4 linked regions of the Anolis sagrei genome follow. Each later gene encodes a partner of the first gene's protein in a complex. Links are inferred from orthologs where the notes say so. Each region holds a gene or a part of one and is shown on either strand. Other genes may lie near its edges.

Region 1 (7,765 bases):
TGGATACGGCCCTCCAAGGTCATTTACCCAGTCCTCGCTTAGGGTCAACCTAAGTCTGAAATGACTTGAAAGCACACAAGAACAATCCTATCTCATCATCCAAAAACAGGCCCCCACTTCCCATTGAAATACTAATAAGTTTATATTTGTTTAAAAAAATCTTCATTTTAATTATTGTATTCTTTTTAAGTGTCTTTTGCACTACAAATAAGATATGTGCAGTGTGCATAGGAATTCATTCATATTTTTTTTCAAACTATAATCCGGCCCTCCAACAGTTTGAGGGACTATGACCTAGTTCTCTATTTACAAAGTTTGAGGACCCCTGTTCTAGAGGCATTCTCTCCTGATGTTTCGCCTGCATCTATGGCAAGCATCCTCTGAGGTAGTGTGAATGAACTCCTTGTATTGGGAATTGGACTTTAGAAAATAAATCTCCACATCAACAACTCAATCCTTCTAGTGAACTGTAGAAATGGTGTATTACCTGCATTACAGATTCTGCTTTCAAAATCAACACACTGGAAAAGTTTGCACTGTTTTCTTTCACAAGGAGATAAATGGAATAGAGGCCTGATGGGCTTTAATATGACTTATTCACAGGTATCCTCTTGGTTCTGGAGCAACAGGTTAAAACCCCCCTGTCACAATCCTCCACTAGACACTTCAGTCTAGGGAAGAGGCAAGGACATACCTTCCTCTTGATGCTACTTTGGGATTTGTCTCTATCGTTTTTTTCCTTCTCACCATCTTTCTGTGTGCTGTTCTCTTCATTCTGGTCATGATCTCCACTGTCATCATCCTTCAAACTAGCAAAGAAAGGAAGGAAGGAATCAGTTTGAAAGCATGAAGGAGCAACTATGTTTAGCATAGAACAAAATCTAAAGGACAGACTGTGGTTATTATTAGACCAGACTGATGGATTCAGGCTACTGAGACAGAGCAGAGATTTTTAAAAGAAGCAGAAATTGCACTTTGGATGCTGAACAAGTGTCCTGTTACTTGTCCTTTTCTGTTCAGTCGGGTAGTTCTGAAAATTTGGTCCTCCACATGTTTTGGACTTCAGCTTCTATAATTTCTAAGAATTGGCAAAACTAGTTAGGGACCAAATTCCAAAATAGCTCATGGATTACAATTTCAGACCACTGATTCAATGTGATAAAAGAACTTTTCTGCATTACCATCCTAAGAATTTGTGGGTTTTACATGCAGGGAAAACATGGACAAATTCAGCTTCAGAGTCGTGGAAAATGGGAACACACAGAATGAACTGAACAGATGCATGTGTTTACACCAATTTCAAGTGCAGTTTTTAATGCAAGTTGAGGATCCATTATTTGAAATGCATGGGACCAGGAAATCCACATTTTGGGTATTTTTGGTTTTTAATCATTGCAAATGCATAATGTGAAATCTTGGAGGTAGGACTGAAGTCCAAATGTGAAATTCATTCATGTTTCATATGCACTTTACACACATAGACTGAAGGTAATTTTATACAAAATATTTTTAATAATTTTGTGTATGAAACAAAGTTTGTGTACACTGAACTGAACCACCAGAAAGCAGCAGTGTAACTATCCCAGCCACTCATGTTGAGCATTTTGGAGTATTTTGGAATCTCAGATAAGAGATGCTCAACCTTTAGTACTTAGTTACCTATCCCTACTGTATGACATTGTGTAGATAAGGTAAATGGTAAGGTAAGGGAAAAGCCATTGCACTCAACTTCACTAGATGTTAAACTAAATAGATTGGATCTGAAAGTGCTTCATTATTGGATGGCTGCAGATGTGGCTAACAGAAAAATGTGCACATTTCAAATGTGTGTAAAAATACAGCACAACCAGACACAGTCAAAGGGGGAAATCTATGCACACAAAATCAGACTTTAATAAATCACCCAAAAGAGACAATTTCATCTTGTAATATTCCCTAATGTGGACATAGGAAGAAGTCAGGAGATATTTATTTATTTATTATTTAGGACATTTATAGCCCACCCTTCTCACCCCAAAGGGGACTCAGGGCAGCTTACATAATTGGCATTATTCCATGCCCAAACAGCAATATCAATTAAAAGCAATTAATCAACCATTTAAAACAACATTATAACAACATATGTAAATATTACATGACTATTGTGCATAGATCCAAAGCCAGAGAGTCAAATAATCATATTCATCAATCCAGGGCCAATTCCTGCTGTAATGCCCAGCACCAACGGCCACTCTGGGGCCAGAATAAACAAGGGGAGCCAGGAGGACATTGCCATCTTGTCCCCTGTGACATCAGCGCCCCTCCCCCAGCAATAATGTAATATTATGTAGTACTAGTGTTATGAATGATGTAATAGTACTATGGTAGTTATGTATTATGTAGTATGTTGTATGTATTTATGACTTGTAAGCCGCTCTTCTGGGGTTATTATTTATTTATTTATTTATTTATTGTATTTTTACCCTGCTCTATCTCAACCCCGAAGGGGACTCAAAGCGGCTTCCAAATTGGCAATAATTCAGTGCTACATTACAACATACAAAATACATTGTGCATTAAATCATAAAAGAGCAACAAATAAATATATTTAAATAAGCAGTTGAGATATAGCACATAACCCCTGAAATCATAGTCCAAAAGCCATTCCAATCACAAGTTTTGATTTATATTTACAAACAAGTATTTCCAAACTTGGGTCCTCCAGGTGTTTGGGACTCCAACTCCCACAATTCCTAACAGCCTACCGGCTATTAGGAATTGTGGGAGTTGGAGTCCCAAACACCTGGAGGGCAGGCCCAAACTCGACCAGGCCTGTAGGAATGCCATTGAAAACTGTCTGCTCCTTCCTTTGATTTAGGATGTTGCCTTGAGGCCTAAAAGCGCCACTGAGGCCCGGACTCACGCGTCGAATTTGTTGTTCATCCTCTTCGGTCGTTCGCCAGCCGCTGCTTTGCTTCTTGCCCCGGACTTCCGCTCCTCTGCCTCCATACGCTCCCTTCACTTCCGCCCAGGCGGAACCAATCTTTTTCCGGTTGCTGTTTCCACCCGGACCCGGGACTACAATCCAGGCCACACTACTTCCTGTGGGCCGCTCTTTATGCCGCGAGTTGTCTATGGTTGTAAAATTAGCCGCGTTCGAAAGACTCGAAAGACCGCTCCCCGACAGGCAGAGATAGAACATATAGAGTGGTATCTCTGTACTTCTAGATGTGATATTTCCGGGTTCACTTTGGAACATTGTTTCTTATATATATCGACTTGTAAACTTAGGACAACATTTCTCATAAACATATAGAATCATAGAATCAAAGAGTTGGAAGAGACCTCATGGGCCATCTAGTCCAACCATTCTGCCCAGAAGCAGGAATATTGCATTCAAATCACCCCTGACAGATGGCCATCGAGCCCCTGTTTAAACATATCTCAACTTGTAAACTAATAAGATTATTGATTATTGACCTAGATCTCAACTTATAAACTCAGGACATCATTCCTTATAAAATAAAATAAATCTAAATAAAATAAAATAAAAATAAATCTAAATTATTATTATTATTATTATTAAATAATAATAATTATAGTTTATAATATTATATTATAATAAGTATACTATTATTATAAAATAATAATTTAGATAATAAATCTAAATAAATAAAATAAAAATAAATCTAAATTATTATTATTATTATTAAATAAATAATAATTATAATTTACAATATTATTATATAATATTATAATAATTATATTATTATTATTATAAAATAATAATTTAGATAATAAATCTAAATAAATAAAATAAAAATAAATCTAAATTATTATTATTATTATTATTATTAAATAAATAATTATTATTGTGATGGCACACCAGGAACATCTAATAAGAAACCTAAATGTGTCTGGCTATTTTCCCAGTGACCATCGATATGCCCTAATTACTATTATTCCCCCAAAATAAAACTCTATAAACAAGAATAAGTTTAACAATTGTTTACTAAATAATCAAGGTGAATTACAACAATGTACAAAGGTGAAGATTAATTATGATGGTATAACTCTGAGGTAAATATAACTATACACTATGGGGAATGATGTAACTATCTATCTATGAACTATCTATTATAAACTTTAGGGCAAATACTATCTATTCTATCTATCTATAAGGCATTTACAAACTATCTATCTATAAACTCTAAGGCAAATACGGCTATAACTATTCTATGTATATGTACTATCTAATCTATCTATAAGGCAAATCTAACTATTCTATCTATGACTATCTATCTATAAGCTTTGGCAAATACGTGATTAGGATGGCCTGTTCAAATTGCTAGGCCAGACCAGACACTATCTGGCAACTATCTATAAGCTAAGACTAACAAAGAAAGGGAAACAAAGTTCTATAACCAGCCCATTCTGGCTCTGAGTCAGAATGGGCTGCACACCAACCGAGCTCGGCCTCTAGGGGGAACCTAAGCTCTCCCCTAAACTTGGTAAAATGGAACAGTCCAACTGAGAAATAAACAGGCCAAGACATCACACTCCCCGCTCAAATTTGGAACAAATTTGCATATACAAACTATAACAAATCACTTTATACAATTAAATACAACAAACTTTAAACTTTTAATAAAACCACCAAGTCTGTGATAAGTCTTTGGTGAGTATCAGTCTTTCAGTTGGAGTCCGTCTTGATTGGAGTCTTCCTGATATGGTCATCCACACTCGGACACTCTTCTTGGGTGACACCCATAAGCCAATAGTTCCAGGAAGCACTTTGGTCCTTTAAAGCAATGTCTCATACCTTGATGTCCTCGTTGGAGTGCTGTCAAACCTTTCTTCTCTGGAGTTGACTCAGGAAGCTCTGGAAAGGTGTTGTCCTTTGAAGAACCTGGGTCTGCGAGGCATTCGGAACCCGACAGCCAGCTGGAATGCAGCAACCTCCGAGCAGACGCCCCTCGGGAAATGATATCTGCAGGTCTCTCCTCAGCGGCAACATGAATCCACCGACTTGGCTCAGCACAGGAAATGCTCTTGTTGCTATCTGGCCTATTGCTGGTATCAGGCACAGTGTTCGGCTCCAAAGGAATGGAATCCTGACAAGCTGACTCTTTAAGCAATGCCTTCTTGTGGGATGGCAATGCTGCAGGGAACACTGCCTCTGTCGCCTCAAGCTGCTCAGAATCACAATGGAATGCATGAGCACTGGACCCCAGAAAATCTGGGTTGCAGCCACTGGAACATGGAGCCTCTTTCTCAACAGTTTTGGCAAGCAGCACCTGCTGTGAGTGTGGAAGGCTAGGTGGAGTGCCAGATGTATCACTGGAGTCAAAGGCTGATCTCACTTTGTCAGGCTTATTGTCTTTAAAAGGAAGGGGAGCTATCCAGCTTCCCTCTTCCGACTGCACTCCTTCTTTGCTTGGAATGTCCAGAAGTCTTTGCTCTTCTTTGGAGAAGCTCAAATCATCACCCTTATCTTTTAAGTCTCTCTTGGGGCTTTTGAAGAAGGAGGGGTTCCAGGCCACAGATGGCATGGAAAACATTTGATTTCGTGCAGAAAACACTGCCTTTTCCCTTTCTGCACCTTCGCCCTGACCCAAAGGAGACACACCTGAGGCTATGGTTTGATTGGCGAAGGAATTCTGGACACAAGGTGCATTGTCCAAAAACTCCACTTTAACTTCTTTCTCAGGTTTGGGGTCAGGGAGGGACCAGGTGGCAGGAACAGGGGAACAGGTGGAGAGCATAAAGGACTGGCTCCCCGCTGTAGACTTCTGCACTTTGACAGGACCCTCATCTTCATGAAAGACTGATGCTGATGGCTGATGGTTATGCTGAGGTGCAGATCTTTCCCCCTCCGCATTAGGCAGATCCTCTATTGTGTTGGTATAGATAGGGCTTAGCTCTTTGGTGGTGACATCTTTGTCAGACAGGAGAAGAAATGACATCTTTGATTCGATGTCCTCCTGAGGCAGCAGCTTAACATTTTCAGGAATCAACTCGTCCTGAAAAGCTTTGGCAAGAATTTTTGCCTTAACTGCAAGCTTGACCGCTTCTTTAGCCTTTTCAGTTATATTTCTTTTGCTTTGTAAAGCTGATAACTGGGCTTCCATTTCAGCTTGCTGAATGGCCTGTCTAGCTTCTAGTTGAGAGAAGTCTAGCTCTTTCACAGCCATAGCCGATTCAGCTTCTGCCTGCAATATTTGCGCCTTGAGCTTCATCCTCTCAACTTCTTTGAAATGTTGAGCTGCCACAGAAGAAATCTTACTGCAGGAAGATGAGGCACTTTTGCTGGAATGTGAATGGTGGCTAAGTGATCTGACACTTAGGGGACGCTGAGGGTAGAAACCCTTGCTGGACTTGGGGCTTCTAGGAGGGGATAAAGAGTAAGCCTCCCTCAGCTGAAATTCCTGAAGCCGAAACTGTGCAGCTTCAAGCACGGCATTAAATTCTCTTTCTTTACTTTGATAGTCCAATGACAATGCTTGCAGTCTTGCTTGGGCATCATCATCATTGATGTTTGTAAGGACTTGTTGTTGCCTTTCTATAATAGTTTTCCAGAGTAAAAAAACTATCCTGGAGCTCTTCTTTATGCACTGCTATTACCTCAGGGTCTCTGGAAGCTGACAAGGTGTTCATGCTATACTGCACGTGTTTCCAAGCACTTTCTGCCTTCACAATTAAACGACTTTCCCTTTCTAGCAACAGCTGTAGGGCCTTCTCTGTGGGGTGCCTAACCCTATGTGAACGGGAAATGTGTACATGTCTGTCTGCACTTCCATCAGAAAGCCCATCCATTCTTGTTGTTTGCTGGTTGCCGAGGCAACAACTCTATATGGGTGAAGAGGACTGAGTGTGAGGCAAAATGTTCACACAGCCTGCTGTCACCACCTATACTATAACAGCAAAACAACAATTTACTGGAATAGGTTTAAGAGTATTGTAACTCCTTTTCCTCAGAAAAATGCGAAAACAGGCCCCAAAACACCTTTTCCCGCTCTTTCTAAACTATAAGCACAAATCCCATAGAAATCTATATAGGCAAAATGGCTGCCGCTTCTTTTTGAGGGGACAATAAGGCTGTCACAGTTCTGATGTTATTATAGTAGCCTTAAAGGATGAACACAAAATGGCTGCCAAACTGTAAAAAACCCCTTTTGGCGCCAAATGCCCCCTTAAGACAAATAGCAGATGCTAGCCTTGCCCCTTTCACTCTCTGACAGGAAACAAGCCTCCAATATCTTTTAAAAGGGCAGGCAGGCAGCTTTTTTACTTTAAAAGCTGCCCCTAACTCTCCTTACTATAAAATTATTCAATTTAGCAACACTTCACCCAAGTATTCCCACAACGTTGCTACACCTTCCAATGGAAAAGTGGAAACAGTGCCTTTTTCTCTCACACACACACTGAGGGAGTGGGCTCTCTCTATAAGCAATCCGAATCGGCTACAAGGCCGATCAGGCACCTAATCACTGTGAAAACAGTGCTTTTTCTTCTCTCACACCCCCTTTGCAGGGAGTGGGCTCTCTCTTATAACTTTCTATAAGCAATCTGAAACGGCTACAAGCCGATCAGGATCCTAATCACTGTGATGGCACACCAGGAACATCTAATAAGAAACCTAAATGTGTCTGGCTATTTTCCCAGTGACCATCGATATGCCCTAATTACTATTATTCCCCCAAAATAAAACTCTATAAACAAGAATAAGTTTAACAATTGTTTACTAAATAATCAAGGTGAATTACAACAATGTACAAAGGTGAAG
Region 2 (7,081 bases), on another chromosome or scaffold:
TCTCCAGAAACCACAGTAATATATATATATATATATACACACACATACACATACACACACACACACACACACCGTAAATAAATAAATAAATATTTGTGTATATATGTATATTTGAATATATGTGTATGTGTGATTTTGTTAATGCATTATAATTATATATTTTTTAGCTTTTAAGTCTCTTCTGGTGTGTTTTTCAGTGTTTTTATGAATGATGGTCACTTGCTGACCTGATACATGTATTTTGTCCAAATTTGGTGTCAATTCGTCCAGTAATTTTTTATGTTAATCCCACAAATGAACATTACATTTTTATTTATACCTAGCTGTTCCCTGCCATGTGTTGCTGTGGCCCAGTCTGTGTGTGTGTGTTTTGTGTGTATATATGTGTGTGTGTATATTTGTGTACATGTGTAGTTTTGTGCGTGCGTTGTAATGTAATTTTCATTTTTTAGCTTTTTAAAGTCTTATCTGCTGTGTTGTTAGGTATTTTTGTGAGTGATGGTCACTCATTGGACTGATAGGTATATTGTGTCCAAATCTGGTGCCAATTTATCCAGTAGTTTTTGAGTTATGTTAATCCCACAAACGAACATTACATTTTTATTTATATAGACTAGCTGTCCCCTGCCACACGTTGCTGTGGCCCACTCTGGTGGTCATGGGGTTTCTGTGTGGGAGATTACGCCCAATTCTATCTTGGTGGGGTTCAGAATGTTCTGTGATTGTAGGTGAACTATAAATCCCAGCAACTTCAACTCCCAAATCTCAAGATTCTATTTCCCCCAAACTCCCCCAGTGTTCACATCTGGACATATTGAGTATTCATGTAGAGTTGGTCCAGATCCATCCTTGTTTGAGTCCACAGTCATCTTTGGATGTAGGTGAACTACAACTCCAAAACCAAAGGACACTGCCCACCAAACCCTTCCAGTATTTTCTGTTGGTCATGAGAGAACTGTGTGCCAAGTTTGGTTCAATTCCATCATTGGTAGGGTTCAGAATGCTCTTTGATTTCAGGTGAACTATAAATCCCAGCAACTACAACTCCCAAATGACAAAATGAATTTTTTTGAGTGAAGGACATACATTGGCTTGTTAAGTGTCTTGTGTCCAAATTTGGTGTCAGTTCATTCAGTGGTTTTAGAGTTATGTTACTCCCACAAACGAGCATTACATTTTTATTTATATGGATTATATTATTTTATTTTATTTTATTTTTTATTTACAGTATTTATATATTGCCTTTCTCAACCCTGGGGGAAATATATATATGCATGTGTATGTATGTTATGTATATGTATGTATATATATGATGGATAGAAATCTATTATATATAACACATACATATCTATGGCTCCAGAAAACAGTGTGTGTGTGTGTGTGTGTGTGTGTGTGTGTATATATATATATATATATATATATATATATATATATGTTTGTATTATTGTTGTTAAATTGCTTGTATTGTTGTTGTCATTGCTTGTATTGTTGTATTCTGGGCTCGGCGTAATGTAAGCCACACCGAGTCCTCTGGGGAGATGGTTTGTTGTTGTTCATTCGTTCAGTCGTCTCTGATTCTTCGTGACCTCATGGACCAGCCCACGCCAGAGCTCCCTGTCGGCCGTCACCACCCCCAGCTCCTTCAAGGTCAGTCCAGTCACTTCAAGGATGCCATCCATCCATCTTGCCCTTGGTCGCCCCCTCTTCCTTTTACCTTCCACTTTCCCCAGCATAATTGTCTTCTCTAGGCTTTGCTGTCTCCTCATGATGTGGCCAAAGTACTTCAACTTTGTCTCTAGTATCCTTCCCTCCAATGAGCAGTCGGACTTTATTTCCTGGAGGATGGACTGGTTGGATCTTCTCGCAGTCCAAGGCACTCTCAGAACTTTCCTCCAACACTACAGTTCAAAAGCAATATTGAATGCAATATTCCTGCTTCTTGGCAGGGGGTTGGACTGGATGGGCCATGAGGTCTCTTCCAACTCTTTGATTCTATGATTCTATGAAAAGCATCGATCTTCCTTCGCTCAGCCTTCCCTAAGGTCCACCTCTCACATCCGTAGGTTACTACAGGGAATACCATGGCTTTGACTATGCGGATCTTTGTTGCCAGTGTGATGTCTCTACTCTTTACTATTTTATCGAGATTGGACATTGTAGCGAGGTATACATTTTTTTTGGTTGTGTCAGAAGTGACCTGAGAAACTGCAAGTCGCTTCTGGTGTGAGAAAATTGGCCATCTGCAAGGATGTTGCCCAGGGGACGCCTGGATGATTTTTTTGATGTTTTAGTATCAAAAAACTTTTATTTGGGGTATAAATAAAGTGTTATTATTATTATTATTATTATTATTATTATTATTAGCATGTATATGTATGTAGAGAGACAGATATTCCATATATATATATACACACACACACACACACATATATATATCTCCAGAAAACACAACAATTTTTACTTGCAGGGAAAATCAAGGCAATGTATTGCCTGGTAAACAGGATCAAGATCAGGGTGTAAAATGCAGAATCTTCCCTATGCCTGGCTACTTACCTCTGCGCAGCCCCCATTGCCAGTTTCCTCCTTGCATTTCTTCTTTCCTGGTTCTTTCTTTTTCTCCCCAGCAACTGCAACCTATAAAGAAAAACAACTGAGATTTGTGTACAGCAGACTTGGGCCAACTTGGGCCCTCCAGGTGTTTTGGACTCCAACTCCCACAATTCCTAACAGCCGGTAGGCTGTTAGGAATTGTGGGAGTTGGAGTCCAAAACACCTGGAGGGCCCAAGTTGGCCCAAGTCAGCTCTAGATGCACCCTACGAGTCTGGAGGTAGCCTCCTCCCCTTTACCTGTGCCTCCGCCTCCATCCTCCCCGCCTGGACCCTCCAGACCACGCCGGCAATGACAGCACCAGAAGCAGAACCCGGAACACGCCGCCCGGCTGGGATGAGTGCACTGCGCAGGCGCGGCAGCTGATGCAACCAGGGGTTCGCGTGGCTCGCTCTGCGTCACTGCGAGGGGGCGGGGCGTGTGGCGTCATCGCTTAGGCTCATGGGAGTTGGAGTCCAGTACGCTCTTCCCCAGGACGTGTATCAGGCGCGCATGCGTGGAAGGGGCTTTCCCTGAAAGGGAGACACTTTCATGTCAGTCCCAGCTGGAGATAGGTTGCAAAACCCTTCTCAAAATATTGTAGCTGCGCCTTAACTAATAAAGAGCTAGATATATTATCTCTCTATGTATCTATCTATGTTAGATAGAGAGATAGATAAATGGTAGACAGAAAAATATATTATATGTGTATATATACATATATATGTATAATGTATTATATATTAATTAATTATAATTATTATATATTTTATATAATTATATATATTATAATATATAATATAATGTATTATATATATATTAATTATAATAATATATTTTATATAATTATATAATTATTTATATATAATTATATTTATTCTAAGGTATATATAATATAATGTATTATACACACACACACACACACATATATATATATATACACATACATACAAGGGTTGAATGAAAAGTAATGCCTCCATCTTCGTAACTCCTCAACAGATGGCAGTACTGGTATGCGGCAGGTACTGGCTTGTTCAGTAGACTCTCCTCTACAGTTCCATCTTGGCGGGAAGCCTTAGCATTGAACGGTTGTGTTGTCAAAGTGTGAAGTATGGAACCTTGCGCAGACGGTCAGTCAATGCGACTTAAGCAATGGGCAGTCATTGAATTCTTGACAATAGAATTCACCTCACATCGCAACATCGGACTTCCACTACTTTCCAACAATGAAGTTATTTTTGAAGAGCAAGCATTTTTCAGATGATGAGACTCTGACTTCCGAAGTCACAACATAGCTTTTGGAGCAACCTGTCAAATTCTACAAGATAGGTTTTAGCAGTTGCTTAAAAAGATGGGGAAAGTGTGTGTCCCTAGGTGGCACCTATGTAGAGAAGTACTAATAACTGTGCCAAGTTTCATTGCTCTCAGCCCACAGGAAGTGGGTCAGGGGAAATCTTCAATGAATACATACATACATATATCTCCAGAAAGCACAGCAATATATATAGATTATATATATAGAATATATATATATATATTCTATCGTTATATTCTATTGCATATATGTATGCATGTGCGTGTATGTGTGTATTTTGTTGATAAGCCCACTCACTCAACATATCGCCTGTTGAATTTTTCATAGGTTTTCTGAAGCATGGAATATTTAGAGTAAGCTCGTCCACTGAAATGCAGCTTACAGTGTGTGGTATTATTCATTGGCTGTCTCCCATCCAGATCTTGATCAGGCTGACCCTGCTTAGCTTCCAAAATCAGAGAGGATCCTATGCCTTGAGGGTATTTAACCCCCTATAATTAAGCATTGTTATTAAGGAGCTATTGGTTAATCCATGCCATGCAGGAAATGGAAAATACAGTGTAAAATCAGATATTAATTATTTTAATTGCTATGTACATTTAGTTTTTAAAATACATTGTTGGCACATGGCTACAAACCTGTCATACATTATCAGGCTAAAAAGAAAAAAGAAACCCAGGTTGAGAAATCCTACATAATGCACTTGGATATTTGCCCAGTAGCTGTGAAAGGAGAGGGGAAGACACAAAGGAAGACATTGCAGCTCAGAAGAAGAATTTTGATTCTCCCCATAGAAAATTTCCTTTAGTCCACATATTTCTAGCATTGCAGCAATATTTAAACTTCATGTGACCATTTAGAAATACACTAGCTATACCTGCCACGCGTTGCTGTGGCCAACCTTCCCTCCCTCTTTCTCTTCTTTCCCTCCTTCCCTCCCTCCCTTTCCTTCCTTCCTTCTCTTTTTCTTCCCTTCCACCCCCACCTTTTTTCCCTTCCTCTTTCTCCCCTTTCTCCCATCTCTACCTGTTCTTGGACTGCAACACCCCGCAGTCCTCCTGATCCACCTGTCTATTTACCTACCTACTGATCTCTATCTATCTGGAGGATTGCTGGGAGTTGAATAGAAATTTGGAAATGTGCAGGAATTCGGATGCTCTCAAATAAATCCAAGGAGAAGAAAGCTTGCAGCTTGGAAGCAGTGTATTTGGATCCCCCTCCTCTCCTAAAGGTCCTGGTCTAGGGGATGCTGGGAGCTGTAGTCTGGAAGAGAGTGTGGATATGCTATTGTGTTTTTTGTTTGCCAGGGGGAGTCGTTTTTGCACATGCGCTGTAGTGCCTTTTTGCATTTTTTGGCTTTTTAAGTCCCTTTCACTGTTGTTTTTTATGTGCGATGGTCACTCGTTGGCGTGACAGGTGTCTTGTGTCCAAATTTGATGTCAATTCGTCCAGTGGTTTTTGAGTTATGTTAATCCCACAAACTAACATTACATTTATATATATATATATATAGAGAGAGAGAGAGAGAGAGAGAGAGAGAGAGAGAGAGATGTTAGGCATTCAGAGAAAAGGGAACAGCAAAGTTACCCTGGAAATGGTAACAGAATACACAAGAGAAATAGGTACAAATGATTCTCATTGCCAACTGCCTTGAACAAACAAGAGATAAAAAGCAAGGTTAAACGACAAAGCGTGGTCAGGTCAGGTTAATGTTGCCTGCCCTGCAGCCGCTTATATTTGCAAAATCACCCTGCTGGGACTCAACAGGGGCAGCTCACAAAAGGGTGCAAGGCCTATGATACAAAATCCTCCAGAAATTTTGAAAAAAAATCTGAAGGATTTCTTTCTATTTATATTTTGCCCTGAAATGCTTTCTAGTATGATATGGGGCATATTTGTCATGGTTTTTGTTTCCTGGGAATATACCTTATACGTGGTTTGTCCCAAAAGTAATGAGAATGATTTTGTTTTTGGGTTGTTGTAGGTTTTTTTGGGCTATATGGCCAAGCTCCAGAGGCATTCTCTCCTGAGGTTTCACCTGCATCTATGGCAAGGATCCTCTGAGGTAGTGAGGATGCTCTGAGGATGCTTGCCATAGATGCAGGCGAAATGTCAGGAGAGAATGCCTCTAGAGCATGACTATATAGCCCGAAAAAACCTACAACAAACCAGTGATTCCGGCCATGAAAGCCTTCGACGATTTTGTTTTTTATTGAACAACATGCAATTGCAGTTCGAAATAGGCTCCTTGTGATCAAATACAGAGTTCCCAGCCTTGCTGCCCCTCTTTATCACAGTGGAGGAAGTCTTCAGTTGAGATGTTGTTGAAAGCCTTTGTTGCAGCTACCTGGACGTTTCCAGCTATCCCAAAATGATATCGTTTGAGGTGGGTTTTGAGTTTGGAGACAGAAATCGTATGGAGCCACAGTCAGGCCTATGCGGTGGGTGGGAAAGTGTTCAGAACAGCCTTCGCACAAATGGGTTCATAGTTAAAAAGAAAATCAACCAGTAGGTGGTAGCAATGTTATATATTTCAGAACAAAGTTGTTAATGACCTTAGGTCTGTTGTGAGTTGTATGGTTTTGTTTTACATCCTGTTGCACTGAACACTCAGGAAATTAGGCCATAGAAGAGGAGTCAATAAAAATTAGCACTCTGGACCATCAGCAGCATGGTCCTCAACTGTCCTAATTTTACTGCGAGAGTCTTATATTTATTTATTTATATTTATATTTATCTGCTTTGAACTGGGTTATCTGAGTCCACACAGAACTGAGTCCACACTGAGAACACAGAAATGCTGGACCACTGTCATAACCACCATGTCAGACTACACAGAGAAGCCATTGAAATACACAAGCATGTGGACAATTGCAACAGAAAGGAGGAAACCATGAAAATGAACAAAATCTGGCTACCAGTATTAAAAAAAACTCTAAAATTGCAACAGCACAACAACAGAGAGGAAACAAACAAGGACATCTAATCACCTCTCAACAAAAGTTGGCTCCATGCACTATCAGGCCATTATATGCTAATCAAGGTGATCAGTTGAAACATTCACACCTAGCTCCAGCAGACAAAAGTCCTTTGTCTCACCCTGGTCATTCCACAGATATATAAACCCTTTTTCCTAGTTCCAACAGACCTCACTACCTCTGAGGATGCTTGCCATAGAT
Region 3 (7,224 bases), on another chromosome or scaffold:
GTTTTATACCAACATTGAATATTTGCCTTTATTATGCTGGAAGCCGCCTGAGTCCCCTTGGGGAGATAGGGCGGGCTACAGATATATTATTATTATTATTATTATTGGAGGTCCAAACACCTGGAGGACCAAAGACTGTGCAAGTCTGGTGTAGATGCACCCAGAACAAGGGACACCGGTGGAACGTAGTAACACTACTACTAATTATTATTATTATTTTATTTATTACCCACCTCTCCTCATGTCTCAAGGCGGGATTCAAAATAAATGAAAACACATCAACATTGCAGAAACAGTACAGGTACATAAAGGCCCTGAGTCCCTTCAGGGACATAGGACGGGATATAAAGTTATTTTATTATATTATATATATTATTAAAATGTATTTCGACAAGCACTCTCACTGTGCCATAATAATAACTTTATTTTTATACCCTGCCTCAATCTCCCCAAATGGACTAGGGGGAACTTACATGGGGCCAAGCCCAACAAAACAGTTAAAACATAACACATTAAAATGCATGTCAACAAAACAACAACAACATTAAGCGGTATATAAAACAAACATCAAAACCAAACAACCAAAAGCAAAGTTCAATGTCTTGTCATGGATGGTGCCACAACATTAAAGGAAAGAGCTAATGATAGAACTAATGGGTAAAGTGCAAATATCATATAGCAGCAATGAGGATAAGAGCGATTTATCATCAAGGATTTGGATAAACATTGTAAAGTGCTTGAGAACAAGATTCTTGGATCTTAACTGGGGCCAGCTGTCCAGGGAATTGCAATGGGTGTAAGCAAGAAGGGCAGGATCCGAGAACTGGGAGAGATCCCTACACCGCCCGAGCCCTCCCGACAGATGGCCATGCAGCCTATGCTTAAAACCCTCCAGAGAAAGAGATTCTGCAGAACTTCAACTGCCAGGAGGTTCTTCCGAATGTGGAGGTGGAATCAGACCACAGAGCAGCTCGGGCAAAGTTTCTCCCTCCAGGTCTTTTGGACTCCCAACTCCCACAATTCCTAACAGCCTCAGGCCCCATCCTTTTCCCACTCAGCCACTTATGGAAGTCCAAAACACCTGGAGGGTGCAAGTTTGCCCAGGCCTGGCTTAGAGTCTCTTCCAACTCAGGCCTTGTAATGTGGAATGAGGCTGAGGAGGAAAAGGAAAGGGCCTGAGGCTGCTGAGGGGGGAAAGGGCCCGAGGCTGCGCAAAAGGAAAAGGCCTGAGGCTGCTGAGGAGGAAAAGGAAATGGCCTGAGGCTGAGGAAAAGGCAGGGCCCTGAGGAGGAAATGGAAAGGGCCTGTGGCTGCTGATGAAAAGTAAAAGGCCCAAGGCTGCTGAGAGGGAAAAGGAAAGGACCTGAGGCTGTTGAGGTAAAAAATGGAAAGGGCCTGAGTCTGCTGAAAAGTAAAAGGCCTGAGGTTCCTGAGGAGGAAAAGGAAAGGCCGTGAGGCTACTGAGGAGGAAAAGTAAAAGATATGAGGCTGCTGAGGAGGAAAAGGAAAGAGACTGAGGCTGAGGAAAAGGCCTGAGGTTGAGGAAAAGGCAGGGCCCTGAGACTGCTGAGGAGGAAATGGAAAGGGCCTGTGGCTGCTGATGAAAAGTAAAAGGCCTTAGGCTGCTGTAGAGGAAAAGGAAAGGGCCTGAGGCTGCTGAGAGGGAAAAGGAAAGAGGCTGAGGCTGAGGAAAAGGGAAGGGCCCGAGGCTGCCGAGAAGGCAAAGGAAAAGTCCCGAGGCTCCTGAGGAGAAAAAGGAAAGGACCTGAGGCTGCTGAGAAGGAAAAGGCCTGAGGTTGCTGAGGGGGGAAAGGAAATGGGATGAGGAAAAGGCCTGAGGCTCCTGAGGAGGAAGAGGAAAGGGCTTGAGGCTGCTGAGGGGGGAAAGGAAAGGGCCTGAGGCTGCTGAGGAGGAAATGGAAAAGGTCTGAGGCTGCTGAGGAGGAAATGGAATGAGGCTGCTGAGGAGGAAATGGGAAAGACCTGAGGCTGCTAAGAAGGAAATTGAAAAGGCCTGAGGCTGCTGAGAAGGAAAAGGCCCGAGGCTGCTGAAGAGGAAATTAAAAGGGCCTGAGGCTGAGGAAAAGGCAGGGCCCTGGGGCTGCTGAGGAGAAAATGGAAAGGGTTTGTGGCTGCTGATGAAAAGCAAAAGGCCTGAGGCTGCTGTAGAGGAAAAGGAAAGTGCCTGAGGCTGCTGAGGTAAAAAAAAAAGAAAAAAGGAAAGGGCCTGAGGCTGCTGAGGAGGAAAAGGAAAGAACCTGAGGCTGCTGAAAAGTAAAAGGATTGAGGCTGCTGAGAGGGAAAAGGAAAAATCCTGAAGCTCCTGAGGAGGAAAAGGAAAAGAGCTGAGGAAAAGGAAAGGGCCTGAGGCTGCTGAGGAGGAAAATAAAAAGGCCTGAGGGTGCTGAGGAGGGAGAGGAAAAGGCCTGAGCCTGTCCCGAATTGTGGGAGTTGGAGTCCCAAAGAGCTGGAGGGAGGAAGCTGGCCCAAGCCCGGCCTATCGAGTCCAGCCCATGCGCGCGGCCTGGCGAGGCCTCCTTACCAGAGCCGAAGCCCACCCGCACGGCCACTGGCCCCGGGCGAGGAGGGAAGGGGCGAGGAGCGGGGTCTCCTCAGACCCAGAGAAAGGAGGGGCGGGAAGCGGAAGTGGGGAGGCGGGACTTCCGCCGCCGCAGCGCCGCCTGCCCTAACGCGAGGGGGCGGGGCCGGCGAGGGAGCCGAGGAGGGCGGGGGGAGGGGTCTCCTAGGCGACGGAGCGGGTGGGCGTGGCCCCGAGGGAGCGGGCACGGCGGGAGGGGGGCTTCCATGGCAACGGGAGGGGGCGTGGCTTACCTTTTGCTGGGGGAGGGAGGGGGGAAGAGGAGGAGGAGGCGTGGCCTCGGCGCGGATCCGCGTCTCTCTCTCTCTCTCTCCTTCTCTCTCTCTCTCTCGCGGGGAGCTCCGTCCTCCTCTCGCCGCTTGTTTGTGTTTGTAACCAAAATGGCCGCCCTCCTCCTTCTCGTCACGTGACGCGACTGAGCCTAGCGCGCATGCGCAGACCAGGGGGAACAAGACGAGTGGGGCGGGGCTTGAAGGGGAAAGAATGGAAAGGGTGGTACTGCGCAGCCGCAGAAGATTCGAACTCGCTTTTTCTGTGTACGCATGCGCAACCTAGGAAAAGCCTCTCCAAGGGGGTTTTCTTGCACGCATGCGCAACCTAGGAAAAGCCTCTCTCAGGGGTTTTCTTGCACGCATGCGCAAACTAGGAAAAGCCTCTCTAAGGGGTTTTCTTGCACGCATGCGCAAACTAGGAAAAGCCTCTCTAAGGGGTTTTCTTGCACGCATGCGCAAACTAAGAAAAGCCTCTCAGGTGTTTTCTTGCACGCATGCGCAACCTAGGAAAAGCCTCTCTGAGGTTTTTCTTGCACGCATGCGCAAACTAGGAAAGGTCTAAGGGGTTTTTCTTGCACGCATGCGCAAACTAGGAAAAGCCTCTCAGGTGTTTTCCTGCACGCATGCGCAAACTAGGAAAAGCCGCTCTAAGGGGTTTTCTTGCACGCATGCGCGAACTAGGTTAAGGGAGTTTAAATGTACGCATGCCCAGAACGGTTTGTACTTGGTATAATCGTCTCGCCGCTCTCATCCGCGCGTGCGCAAAGCGGCGCAAGGGCATTTGTACGAGATCGGAGGAGCGGTGTCCACGTGACCTTGCCTGCCTGCTTTGGCGCGCTCTCGCCGCTAGAGGCGCGCTCCCGGAGAGAAATGCCGAAGGGGATTGGTCGGCCCTCGCCCTCGTCACGTGATCCCCGCCTGGGCCTAGCCCGTGACGTCATCACCACCTCTCCGCCATCGAGTCGCAAAATGACGTCAGCAAAAGGGGACGTGGGCACGAAATATTTGTACTAAAGGTCGGATTGCATCGGAATAATAGACCATAGTTCCTCTCAAAGTTGCAGCACGTTTACTCCATTAATTACCTGTTTTCCTTCATCCAAAAATTACCTCAGCTTTACTCCAATATTACCTCAGGTTCGCTTCAATATTACTTCGGGTTTACTTCAATATTACCTCATATTTGAGTTGTTGTAGGTTTTTCAGGATGTCAGGCCATGTTCCAGAGGCATTCTCTCCTGACGTTTCGCCTGCATCTATGGCAAGCATCCTCAGAGGTAGTGAGGTCTGTTGGAAGTAGGAAAAATGGGTTTATATATCTGTGGAATGACCAGGGTGGGACAAAGGACTCTTGTCTGCTGGAGCTAGGTGGGAATGTTTCAACTGACCACCTTGATTAGCATTTGATGGCCTGGCAGTGCCTGGGGAAATCTTTTGTTGAGAGGTGATTAGAGAAGCAACTGGAACCAGGAAAATGGGTTTATATATCTGTGGAAAGACCAGGGTGGGACAAAGGACTCTTGTCTGCTGGAGCTAGGTGTGAATGTTTCACCCTAATCACAACCCAGTGATTCCAGCCATGAAACTCTTCGACAATACCTCATATTTACTCGAGCATTAGGCATGAGAGGTGGGTCCGGAAGCAGCTCTGAGCCTTACGCTCTTTCCACTTCGCTACTTTGGGAGCCCTGTTTGCACAACACAGAAAGGAACACAGGCATTGCAGAAGGAATGTCAGAGTTCTTTAATGATAAAACCCTAACCCTAATCCCTTAACCTGAACCCTATCCCTTAACCCTATTCCTAACTCTTAACCCTAATCCTAATTCTAACCTAACTGTAATCCTAAACCAAACCCTAATTCTAACCCAAACCCCAAACCTTACCCTAACCATAAACCCTACCCTAACCCTAATCCTAATCCAACCCTAAACCTTACCCTAACCCAAACCCTAATCCTAACTCTAATTCTAACCCAAACCTGAAATCTAACCCTAATTCTAACCCAAGCCCTAAACCTTACCCTACGCCTAAGACTAACCCTTAACCCTAATCCTAACCGTAATCCTAACCCTGATTCTAACCCAAACCTAAAACCTTACCCCAAGCCAAACCCTAACCCTGAACCTAACTGTAATCCTAAACCAAACCCTAAACCTTACCCTAACCCTAACTGTAATCCTAAACCAAACCCTAAACCTTACCCTAATCGTAAACCTTACCCTAAACCTTAACCCTAATCCTAACCCAAACCCTAATTCCAACCCTAAACCTTACCCTAACTAATCATAACCATAAACTTAAACCTTAACCTTAATCCTAATCCAAACCGTAATCCTAATCCAAATTCTAACCCTAACCATACCCTAACCCTAAGTCTCACCCCTAACCCTAACCTTACTAAACCTTTCTATCCTTTCACCAAATGCAACTACGAAGTATATTCCCGCCCTCAGTGTCCCATTCTCCCCTTCCCTTATTCAGAACCACTGTTGCGGAATGGGCGTAACGCTTGGCGCTTCCAGACCCAGCTATCATACTCTCACCGAGCATTATCTCAAATTTACTTCAGCATTACCTCAGGTTTACTCCCATATTAGCTCCAGTTTACTCCAATATTACCTCAAGTTTACTACAATATTGCCTCATATTTAATCCATACATTACCTCAAATTTACCCCCACATTACCTCAGATTTACTTCAGTATTACCTCAGGTTTACTCCCATATTAGCTCCTGTTTACTCCAATATTTCCTCAGATTTACTGCAATATTGCCTCATATTTACTCCATACTTTACCTCAAATTTACCCCCATATTACCTCAGATTTACTTCGGTATTACCTCAGGTTTACTCCCATATTAGCTCCAGTTTACTCCAATATTACCTCAGGTTTACTGCAATATTGCCTCATATTTACTCCATACTTTACCTCAAATTTACCCCCACATTACCTCAGATTTACTTCAGTATTACCTCAGATTTACTCCCATATTAGCTCCTGTTTACTCCAATATTACCTCAGGTTTACTGCAGTATTGCCTCATATTTACTCCATACATTATCTCAAATTTACCCCCACATTACCTCAGATTTACTTCAGTATTACCTCAGGTTTACTCCCATATTAGCTCCGGGTTACTCCAATATTACCTCAGGTTTACTGCAATATTGCCTCATATTTACTCCATACATTACCTCAAATTTACCCCCACATTACCTCAGATTTACTTCAGTATTACCTCAGGTTACTCCCATATTACCTCCGGTTTACTCCAATATTACCTCAGGTTTACTGCAATATTGCCTCATATTTACTCCATACATTACCTCAAATTTACCCCCACATTACCTCAAATTCAGTATTACCTCAGGTTTACTCCCATATTACCTCCCGTTTACTCCCATATTACCTCAGGATAACTGCAATATTGCCTCATATTTACTCCATACATTACCTCAAATTTACCCCCACATTACCTCAGATGTACTTCAGTATTACCTCAGGCTTACTCCCATATTACCTCCTGTTTACTCCAGTATTACCTTAGATTTACTTCAATGTTACCACAGGTTTACTCCAATATTATCTCAGATTTACCCTGGACATTATTCCACAGGTATAGTATATACACTCCACTTGCCTCCCTTCCAACAGAGCTCTGAACAAACTTCTGAGGATGCTTGTCAAAAATGCAGGTGGAACATCAGGAGATAATGCTACTGGAACATGGCCATACAGCCCAGAAAAGTCAGGGCAACCCAAATTAACGTTTACTACAACTAGAAGTAGAAGGCCTGAAATTTGGGATTTGTACCTAGGTTCTGAGAGTGCCTTGGACTGCGAGAAGATCCAACCAGTCCATCCTCCAGGAAATAAAGCCCGGCTGCTCACTGGAAGGAAGGAGACTAGAGACAAAGTTGATGTCCTTTGGGCACATCATGAGGAGACAGCAAAGCCTAGAGAAGACAATGATGCTGGGGAAAGTGGAAGGCTAAAGGAAGAGGGGCCGACCAAGGGCAAGATGGATGGATGACATCCTTGAAGTGACTGGACTGACCTTGAAGGAGCTGGGGGTGGTGACGGCCGACAGGGAGCTCTGGCATGGGCTGGTCCATGAGGTCACGAAGAGTCGGAAACGACTGAACGAATGAACAACAACAACAACCTACCTATGGCACTATTTTAATAACCACTACATAAGGAGATGGCAATGAGAAGCATTGGACCTTGGAGCCAGGGATGGTGTTTCCTAGAGGAAACATTCAAGTACAGGTGTGGGCCAACTTCAGCCTTCCTTCCAGGTGTTTTGGACTTCAACTCCCACAATTCCTAACAGCCTATCGGCTGT
Region 4 (7,356 bases), on another chromosome or scaffold:
GCAGGCGAAATGTCAGCAGAGAATGCTTCTGAGGATGCCTGCCATAGATGCAGGCGAGACGTCAGGAGAGAATGCTTCTGAGGATGCCTGCCATAGATGCAGGCGAAACGTCAGGAGAGAATGCTTCTGGAATATGGCCTTACAGCCCAGTAAACACAACAACCCAGTGATTCCAGACATGAAAGCCTTCAACAATACATCTAGCTATGGTTATTAAAGTGATGTAAAACTGCATTAATTCTACAGCGGAGATGTGGACCCCAAGGCAACCTATGAATCATTCTGTAATTAAGACGTCATTCAGCACTCTGCACGTGGTCAGAGGCACTCAGGTATGTTGCAATGGCTCTCAATCAGGTCCAACTAATCACCTCCCAACAAAGGATTCCCCCGGCAGGAAGCATCCAGGCTTTGAAGCTGCAAGGCCATTCAATGCTAACCAAACCGGTCAACTGCAACAAACAGACAAGAGTTCTTTTTCCCACCCTGGACATTCCACAGAAACCCCACTTGTCTAGCTTCCAATGGACCTCACAACTGGGTTTTTGTAGGTTTTTCGGGCTATATGGCCATGTTCTAGAAGCATTCTCTCCTGACATTTCACCCACATCTACAGTAGGCATCCTCAGAGGTAGTGATGCAGGTGAAACATCAGGAGAGAATGCTTCTAGAACTTGGCCATATAGCCCGAAAAACCTACAACAACCCAGTGAATCAAGCCATTAAAGCCTTCGACAAGACCTCACAACCTTTGAGGATGTCTGCCATAGACGTGGGCGAAACGTCAGGAGAGAATGCTGCTGGAACATGGCCATACAGCCTGAGAAAGTCACAGTGACCTAGTGATTCCGGCATTTGACAAGACATAGGACAAGTTTGCACGCAAGGCTGATAACTATCAGTCCAATGAAATAAACTGTGACGGTTTCCCATCCCTTGCTAAGTCTTATGCAATCGACAACTTTTACTCTGGAATTGCATCAGATCTTCCACTTAAATATGCTTAGGGTTGAGAAACTGCAAGTCGCTTCTGGTGTGAGAGAATTGCCCGTCTGCAAGGACGTTGCCCAGGGGATGCCCGGATGTTTTGATGTTTTACCATCTTTGTGGGAGGCTTCTCTCATGTCCCCACACGGGGAGCTGGAGCTGACAGACGGAGCTTGTCTGCGCTCTCCGCAGATTCGAACCTCTGACCTGTCAGTCTTCAGTCCTGTTGGCACAAGGATTTAACTCATTGCGCCAATAAATGAATGCTGGTGCGTCCTTCACAAACTGCAAATCCCAGGACTTCATCGCCTTGAGTAATTAAAGTGGGATGGAATTGAATTAATTCTGCAGCGTAGTTGCACCCATGGCCTGTTCTCCAGTGGGATAAATAAGCATTAACATTGCATTCCGTGCTGCGCTCCATTGGGGTGCAAGCGGTGACATTCTTTCCGCCTGTGTCCATCCCACCCATGTGCCTGCCAACTGGAAAATAACACAGCGGGCATCTGATGCAGGCTCTGGTCCATGAGCGCTGATCCAGCATTGAACCTGCCAGGCTGGGAAGGGCCCTCTCTGCAAAACACTCCCCAGGCAGGAGAGGAGAGAAACACAGAAGAACCAGGTCTGCACTCACCATGGAATGCGGTTCAAGGCTGGCTTCAAGCAACAGTGCTTGTGGGCTGAATGCTCTGAAGCACTCAGCCCACAAGTAGAAACATTAAGACACCACCCTGCACTTTGCACATGCTCAGAGGCACTCAGCTCACAAATTTTAACATTATGACACCACTCTGCACATGCTCAGAGGCACTCAGCCCACAAGCACTCTGCACATACTCAGAGGCACTCAGCTCTCAAGCATCAACATTAAGATGCCACCCAGCACTCTGCACACTCTCAGAGGCACTCAGCACCCAAGCATCAACATTAAGACATCAGCCATCACTCTGCACATGCTCAGAGGCGCTCAGCCCACAAGCATCAACATTAAGACACCACTCTGCACATGCTCAGAGGCACTCGGCCCATAAGTATCAACATTAAGACGCCACGCTGCGCTCTGCACATGCTCAGAGGCACTCAGCCCACGAGTATCAACATTAAGACAAAACTCTGCACATGCTCAGAGGCACTCAGCCCACAAGCATCAACATTAAGACACCACCCAGCACTCTGCACATGCTCAGAGGCACTGAGCCCACAAGTATTAACATTAAGACGCCACACTGCGCTCTGCACATGCTCAGAGGCACTCAGCGCACAAGTATCAACGTTAAGACACCACCCAGCACTCTACACATACTCAGCCTACGAGTATCAACATTAAGATGCCACTCTGCACATGCTCAGAGGCACTCAGCCCACAAGGATAAACATTAAAACGCCACCTTGCACTCTGCACATGCTCAGAGGCACTCAGCTCTCAAGCATCAACATTAAGATGTCTGCCAGAGCTCTGAACATGCTCAGAGGCACTCAGCACACGAGTATCAACATTAAGATGCCACTCTGCACTCTGCACACACTCAGAGGCACTCGGCACTCAAGCATCAACCTTAAGATGCTGAGTGTCAACATTAATAATGTTGACACTCAGCTCTCAAACGTCAACATTAAGACTCCACTCTGCACACACTGAGAGGCACTCAGCCCACAAGCACCAGCCAGCACTCTGCCCATGCTCAGAGACACTCAGACTGCAATTCTAAAACAGAGCTAAGTATTCCCGTGTCTTAAAGTCACATCCAAGGGCTAAGGAAGCAACTGCAGGGATGTCAACACGAGAAAGGCAGCGTCCAGGTGTCGCGGCTCACCTCCGGGCGTGGTGCCGAAGAGGGTCCCCCCGGGGGTGGTGCTGTAGTCTCCAGGGGGCAGGGTCACTCCTTCGGGCAAGTGGAGCCTCTTGGCCGGGATCAAGGCCGGCGGAGAGCGGAAATAGGTGGCTGCGGAGCTCATGGCGGACTGACTGCCTGCGTGTGTCTTCTCCGGCGGGGAAACTCCACTGGCGGGCGCGCTCTCTTCCCGGGACGCCCCCCGTCGAAGCCCCGCCCCCCGTCTGCCAGGACACGCCCCTCCGCTCTCACAGCCCCGCCTCCGTTTTAGCCCTGAATGTTTTTTTCTGGACTTCAATTCCCAGGATTCCCTTCCATTGTCCCAGTCAGCGGAGACTTCTGGGAGTTGAAGTCCCAAAGTCAAAAAGTGGCTTTGCTCTATTCCTTTGCCACCATATTAACTTCTATGGAAATGTACAGTTTTGTGGGATACTAAGGCTCCTTCTACACTAACATATAAAATCCGGATTCTCTGTTTAGAACTGGATTATATGATAGTATAGAATCATAGAATCATAGAATCAAAGAGTTGAAAGAGACCTCATTCATGGGCCATCCAGTCCAACCCCATTCTGCCAAGAAGCAGGAGTATTGCATTCAAATCACCCCTGACAGATGGCCATCCAGCCCCTGTTTAAAAGCTTCCAAAGAAGGAGCCTCTGTATAGACAGAGGCCTCTTCTGCAACGCCATATAAAATCCAGATTATCTGCTTTGAAGCGGATTATATGTAGACTCAGCCTCCTTCTACACCACCATATACAATCCAGATTATCTGCTTTGAACTGGATTATATGACAGTGTAGACAGAGCCTCTTTCTACACCGCCATACAAAATTCAGATTATCTGCTTTGAGCTGGATTATATGGAAGTGTAGACTGAGGCCCCTTTTACATCAACATATAAAATCCGGATTATCTGATTTGAACTGGATTATATGGCAGTGTAGACTGAGGTCCCTTTTACATCAACATATAAAATCCGGATTATCTGATTTGAACTGGATTATATAGCAGTACAGGCAGAGGCCTCTTCTGCAATGCCATATAAAATCCGGATTATCTGCTTTGAACTGGATTATATGACATTGTAGAATGAGCCCCCTTCTACACCGTCATACAAAATCCAGATTATCTACTTTGAGCTGGATTATATGGAAGTGTAGACTGAGGCCCCCTTTACACCAACATATAAAATCCGGATTATCTAATTTGAACTGGATTATATGGCAGTGTAGACTGAGGCCCCTTTTACGCCACCATATAAAATCCATACTATCTACTTTGAACTGGATTATATGACAATGTAGACTGAGGCCCTTTTTACACCAACATATAAAATCCGGATTATCGGATTTGAACTGGACTATATGGCAGTGTAGACTGAGGCCCTTTTTACACCAGCACATAAAATCCGTATTATCCGATTTGAACTGCATTATATGGCAGTGTAGACTGAGGCCCCTTTTACACCAACATATAAAATCCAGATTATCGGATTTGAACTGGATTAAATGACTGTGTAGACTGAGCTCCCTTCTACACTGGCATGCAAAATCCAGATTATCTGATTTGAACTGGGTTATATGACAGTGTAGAGTGGGCCTCCTTCTACGCCGTCATATAAAATCCAGATTATCTGCTTTGAACTGGATTATATGACAGTATACACTGAGCCCCCTTCTACACCGCCATATAAAATCCAGATTATCTGCTTTGAACTGGATTATATGACAGTATACACTGAGCCCCCTTCTACACCGCCATATAAAATCCAGATTATCTGCTTTGAACTGGATTATATGACAGTGTAGACTCATATAATCCAGTTCAAAGCAGATAATGTGGATTGTCTGCTTTGATAGTCTGGATTATATGGCAGTGTAGAAAGGACCTAAAAGAGCTGTCAGAATGGAAGACCCATCTCTTCTGGCAGAAGAGTCAATTTATCATGAGTTTTGATTTACCCTCTACTACTATTATATGTCAATTCTGTATCTGTGTTTTGTGCAAGTGTTTTATATTTTTGTGTTTTTATCTGTGTAATTCATTGTATACTTATTTTATGTTCATGTTTTTGACTTTGTTGTACCCTGCCTCGAACTATAATAAGGGGTGGGTAATAAATAAAAGGTATTTTTACTATTTGACACACAACAAGATTGGCACATGGCAAACAAGATCACTATGTTGGCTTTTGTATTGGATCACATTTTGGACACTTTCCAAGTGTCTAGGACTATGTGATGTAGCGGCCAATAATGCATACAGATCAGAGAAAGGTGGCCTTCTGCAGCTGGCAGATGGTAATTTTGTCAGAACCGATTGTGTTTAAGTGCAGGCCAAGGTCTTTAGGCACTGCACCCAGTGTGCCGATCACCACTGGGACCACCTTGACTGGTTTGTGCCAGAGTCTTTGCAGTTCTATCTTTAAATCCTCATATCGTGTCAGCTTTTCCAGTTGTTTCTCTGCAATCCTGCTTTCGCCTGAGATTGCAACATCTATGATCTATACTTTGTTTTTTTCCATGAACGTGAGGTCAGGAGTGTTGAGCTCCAAAACTATGTCTGTCTGAATTCAGAAGTCTCAGAGTAACTTGACGTGTTCATTTTCCATAACTTTTTGCGGCTGTGATCCCACCAGACCTTTGTGGCAGGCAGATGGTGTTTGTGGCACAAGTTCCAATGAATCATCTGAACAAAGGTGTTGTACCTCTGTGTGACGGTGTGAGTGGCACCACCTATATGTAGAACTGTAAGTTGCAGGATTTGAACTGTTGTATCAAGCCCGATTTTGCCTTTTTACCCTGTAAATGTATAGTTGGATTGTGTTGTTGTAGGTTTTTATGGGCTATATGGCTATGGTCTAGAGCAGTGGTTCACAACCTTCCTAATGTTGCGATCCCTTATTACAGTTCCTCATGTTGTGGTGACCCCCAACCATCAAATTATTTTCGTTGCTACTTCATAATTGTAATTTTGCTATTGTTATGAATCGTAATGTAAATATCTGATCTCCAGGATGTATTTTCATTCACTGGACTAAACTTGGCACAAATACCCGATACGCCCAAATTAGACTACTGGCGGGGTTGGAGGGGTTGATTTTGTCATTTGGGAGTTGTAGTTGCAGGGATTTATAGTTAACCTACAATCAAATAGCATTCTGAACTCCACCAATGATGGAATTGAACCAAACTTGGCACACAGAACTCCCATGACCAACGGAAAATACTGGAAGGATTTGGTGGGCATTGACCTTGAGTTTTGGATTTGTAGTTCACTTGCATCCAGAGAGCACTGTGGACTCAAACAATGATGGATCTGGACCTAACTTTGCATGAATATTCAATATGCCCAAATGTAAACACTAGTGGAGTTTGGGGGAAAATAGACCTTGACATATGGGATTTATTGTTCATCTACAATCAAAGTGCATTCTGGACCCCACCAACAATAGAATTAGTCCAAACTTCTCACACAGAACTCCCATGACCAACAGAAAATACTGTTTTCTGATGGTCTTTGGTGACCCCTCTGACACCCCCTTGCGACCACCCTGGGGGTCCTGACCCCTAGGTTGAGAAACACTGGTCTAGAGGCATTATCTCCTGATGTTTCACCTGCATCTATGGCAAGCATCCTCAGAGGTAGTGAGGTCTGTTGGAACTAGGAAAACTGGGCGGATCTTCATCTTTATTCTCATGGCTACCCAGAGGAAAAGTGTTCTTGCCATACATTAAGGGAAAACACAACCTATAAACTATCTACAGACCCACCAAGAAAATCCAACAACTGCTTCGTTCAGCAAAGTACAAGAGGGATCCCCTCACCTCTGCAGGAGTCTACCGTGTACCATGCAGCTGTGGACAAGTCTACATAGGGACCACCAAATGCAGTGTTGCCCAAACACGAATCAAGGAACATGAAAGGCACTGCAGACTACTTCAACCAGAGAAATCAGCCATAGCAGAGCACCTGAGGAACCAACCTGGACACAGCGTATTATTTGAGAACACAGAAATGCTGGACCACTCTCACAACCACCATATCAGACCACACAGAGAAGCCATTGAAATACACAAGCATGTGAACAATTTCAACAGAAAGGAGGAGACCATGAAAATGAACAAAATCTGGCTACCAGTATTAAAAAAACTCAAAAATTACAACAGCACAACAACAGAGAGGGAAACTAACAAGGACATCTAATCACCTCTCAACAAAAGTTTGCTCTAGGCAATGTCAGGCCATTATATGCTAATCAAGGTGGTCAGTTGAAACATTCACACCTAGCTCCAGCAGACAAGAGTCCTTTGTCTCACCCTGGTCATTCCACAGATATATAGTTCCAACAGACCTCACTACCTCTGAGGATGCTTACCATAGATGCAGGCGAAACGTCAGGAGAGAATGCCTCTAGACCATGGTCATATAGCCCGAAAAAACATACAACAACCCAGTTATTCTGGCCATGAAAGCCTTCTACAATATATAGTTGGATTGATTGGTTATTTATAGCTGTCAATCAACGTTGT

Evidence for each region. Proteins that work in one complex are often made in the same cells at the same time.
Region 2: the proteins of EIF4E2 (region 1) and TARS1 are in contact, whole or in part, in a crystal structure (PDB 5XLN), measured with the Homo sapiens proteins. The link is inferred for Anolis sagrei from reciprocal best matches to the Homo sapiens genes EIF4E2 and TARS1. Residues at the interface, in NP_004837.1 of Homo sapiens: His54, Pro55, Leu56, Gln57, Val91, Glu92, Phe94, Trp95, Arg96, Glu149, Asn150, Leu153, Leu156, Gly157, Glu158, Gln159, Met161, Val203; in NP_001245366.1 of Homo sapiens: Pro51, Glu52, Tyr53, Ile54, Tyr55, Thr56, Arg57, Met60, Tyr61, Ile63, Leu64, Glu67.
Region 3: the proteins of EIF4E2 (region 1) and GIGYF1 are in contact, whole or in part, in a crystal structure (PDB 5NVK), measured with the Homo sapiens proteins. The link is inferred for Anolis sagrei from reciprocal best matches to the Homo sapiens genes EIF4E2 and GIGYF1. Residues at the interface, in NP_004837.1 of Homo sapiens: His54, Pro55, Leu56, Gln57, Tyr64, Lys83, Gln84, Ile85, Gly86, Val91, Glu92, Trp95, Arg96, Phe97, Tyr98, Ser99, His100, Met101, Val102, Arg103, Leu107, Phe113, Ile137, Arg138, Leu139, Arg140, Gly142, Leu143, Ser145, Arg146; in NP_001362694.1 of Homo sapiens: Leu36, Ala37, Asp38, Tyr39, Arg40, Tyr41, Gly42, Arg43, Met46, Leu47, Leu49, Tyr50, Glu53, Asn54, Lys55, Val56, Pro57, Glu59, Leu60, Glu64, Phe65, Ala67, Val68, Leu69, Gln70, Asp71, Glu72, Pro73, Leu74, Gln75.
Region 4: the proteins of EIF4E2 (region 1) and EIF4EBP1 are in contact, whole or in part, in a crystal structure (PDB 5NVN), measured with the Homo sapiens proteins. The link is inferred for Anolis sagrei from reciprocal best matches to the Homo sapiens genes EIF4E2 and EIF4EBP1. Residues at the interface, in NP_004837.1 of Homo sapiens: Glu53, His54, Pro55, Leu56, Gln57, Tyr58, Tyr64, Arg66, Lys83, Gln84, Ile85, Gly86, Val91, Glu92, Gln93, Trp95, Arg96, Phe97, Ser99, His100, Met101, Val102, Leu107, Phe113, Glu149, Asn150, Leu153, Gly157, Glu158, Gln159; in NP_004086.1 of Homo sapiens: Arg51, Ile52, Ile53, Tyr54, Asp55, Arg56, Phe58, Leu59, Met60, Cys62, Arg63, Ser65, Val67, Thr68, Lys69, Thr70, Pro71, Pro72, Asp74, Leu75, Pro76, Ile78, Pro79, Gly80, Val81, Thr82, Ser83.

The regions. Positions count from the first base shown.
Region 1 is NC_090023.1:265,347,299-265,355,063, reverse strand, and holds the start of EIF4E2 (eukaryotic translation initiation factor 4E type 2), read right to left. Parts: upstream 3,012-7,765; 5' UTR 2,989-3,011; coding exon 2,903-2,988; intron 810-2,902; coding exon 695-809; intron 1-694. UniProt on the Homo sapiens protein: Recognizes and binds the 7-methylguanosine-containing mRNA cap during an early step in the initiation. Acts as a repressor of translation initiation.
Region 2 is NC_090022.1:280,718,798-280,725,878, forward strand, and holds the start of TARS1 (threonine--tRNA ligase 1, cytoplasmic), read right to left. Parts: upstream 3,001-7,081; 5' UTR 2,866-3,000; coding exon 2,848-2,865; intron 2,635-2,847; coding exon 2,554-2,634; intron 1-2,553. UniProt on the Homo sapiens protein: Catalyzes the attachment of threonine to tRNA(Thr) in a two-step reaction: threonine is first activated by ATP to form Thr-AMP and then transferred to the acceptor end of tRNA(Thr).
Region 3 is NC_090026.1:2,531,666-2,538,889, reverse strand, and holds the start of GIGYF1 (GRB10-interacting GYF protein 1), read right to left. Parts: upstream 3,001-7,224; 5' UTR 2,833-3,000; intron 2,630-2,832; exon of another isoform or gene 2,543-2,629; intron 1-2,542. UniProt on the Homo sapiens protein: May act cooperatively with GRB10 to regulate tyrosine kinase receptor signaling. May increase IGF1 receptor phosphorylation under IGF1 stimulation as well as phosphorylation of IRS1 and SHC1.
Region 4 is NC_090027.1:10,773,183-10,780,538, forward strand, and holds the start of EIF4EBP1 (eukaryotic translation initiation factor 4E-binding protein 1), read right to left. Parts: upstream 3,001-7,356; 5' UTR 2,944-3,000; coding exon 2,802-2,943; intron 1-2,801. UniProt on the Homo sapiens protein: Repressor of translation initiation that regulates EIF4E activity by preventing its assembly into the eIF4F complex: hypophosphorylated form competes with EIF4G1/EIF4G3 and strongly binds to EIF4E, leading to repress translation.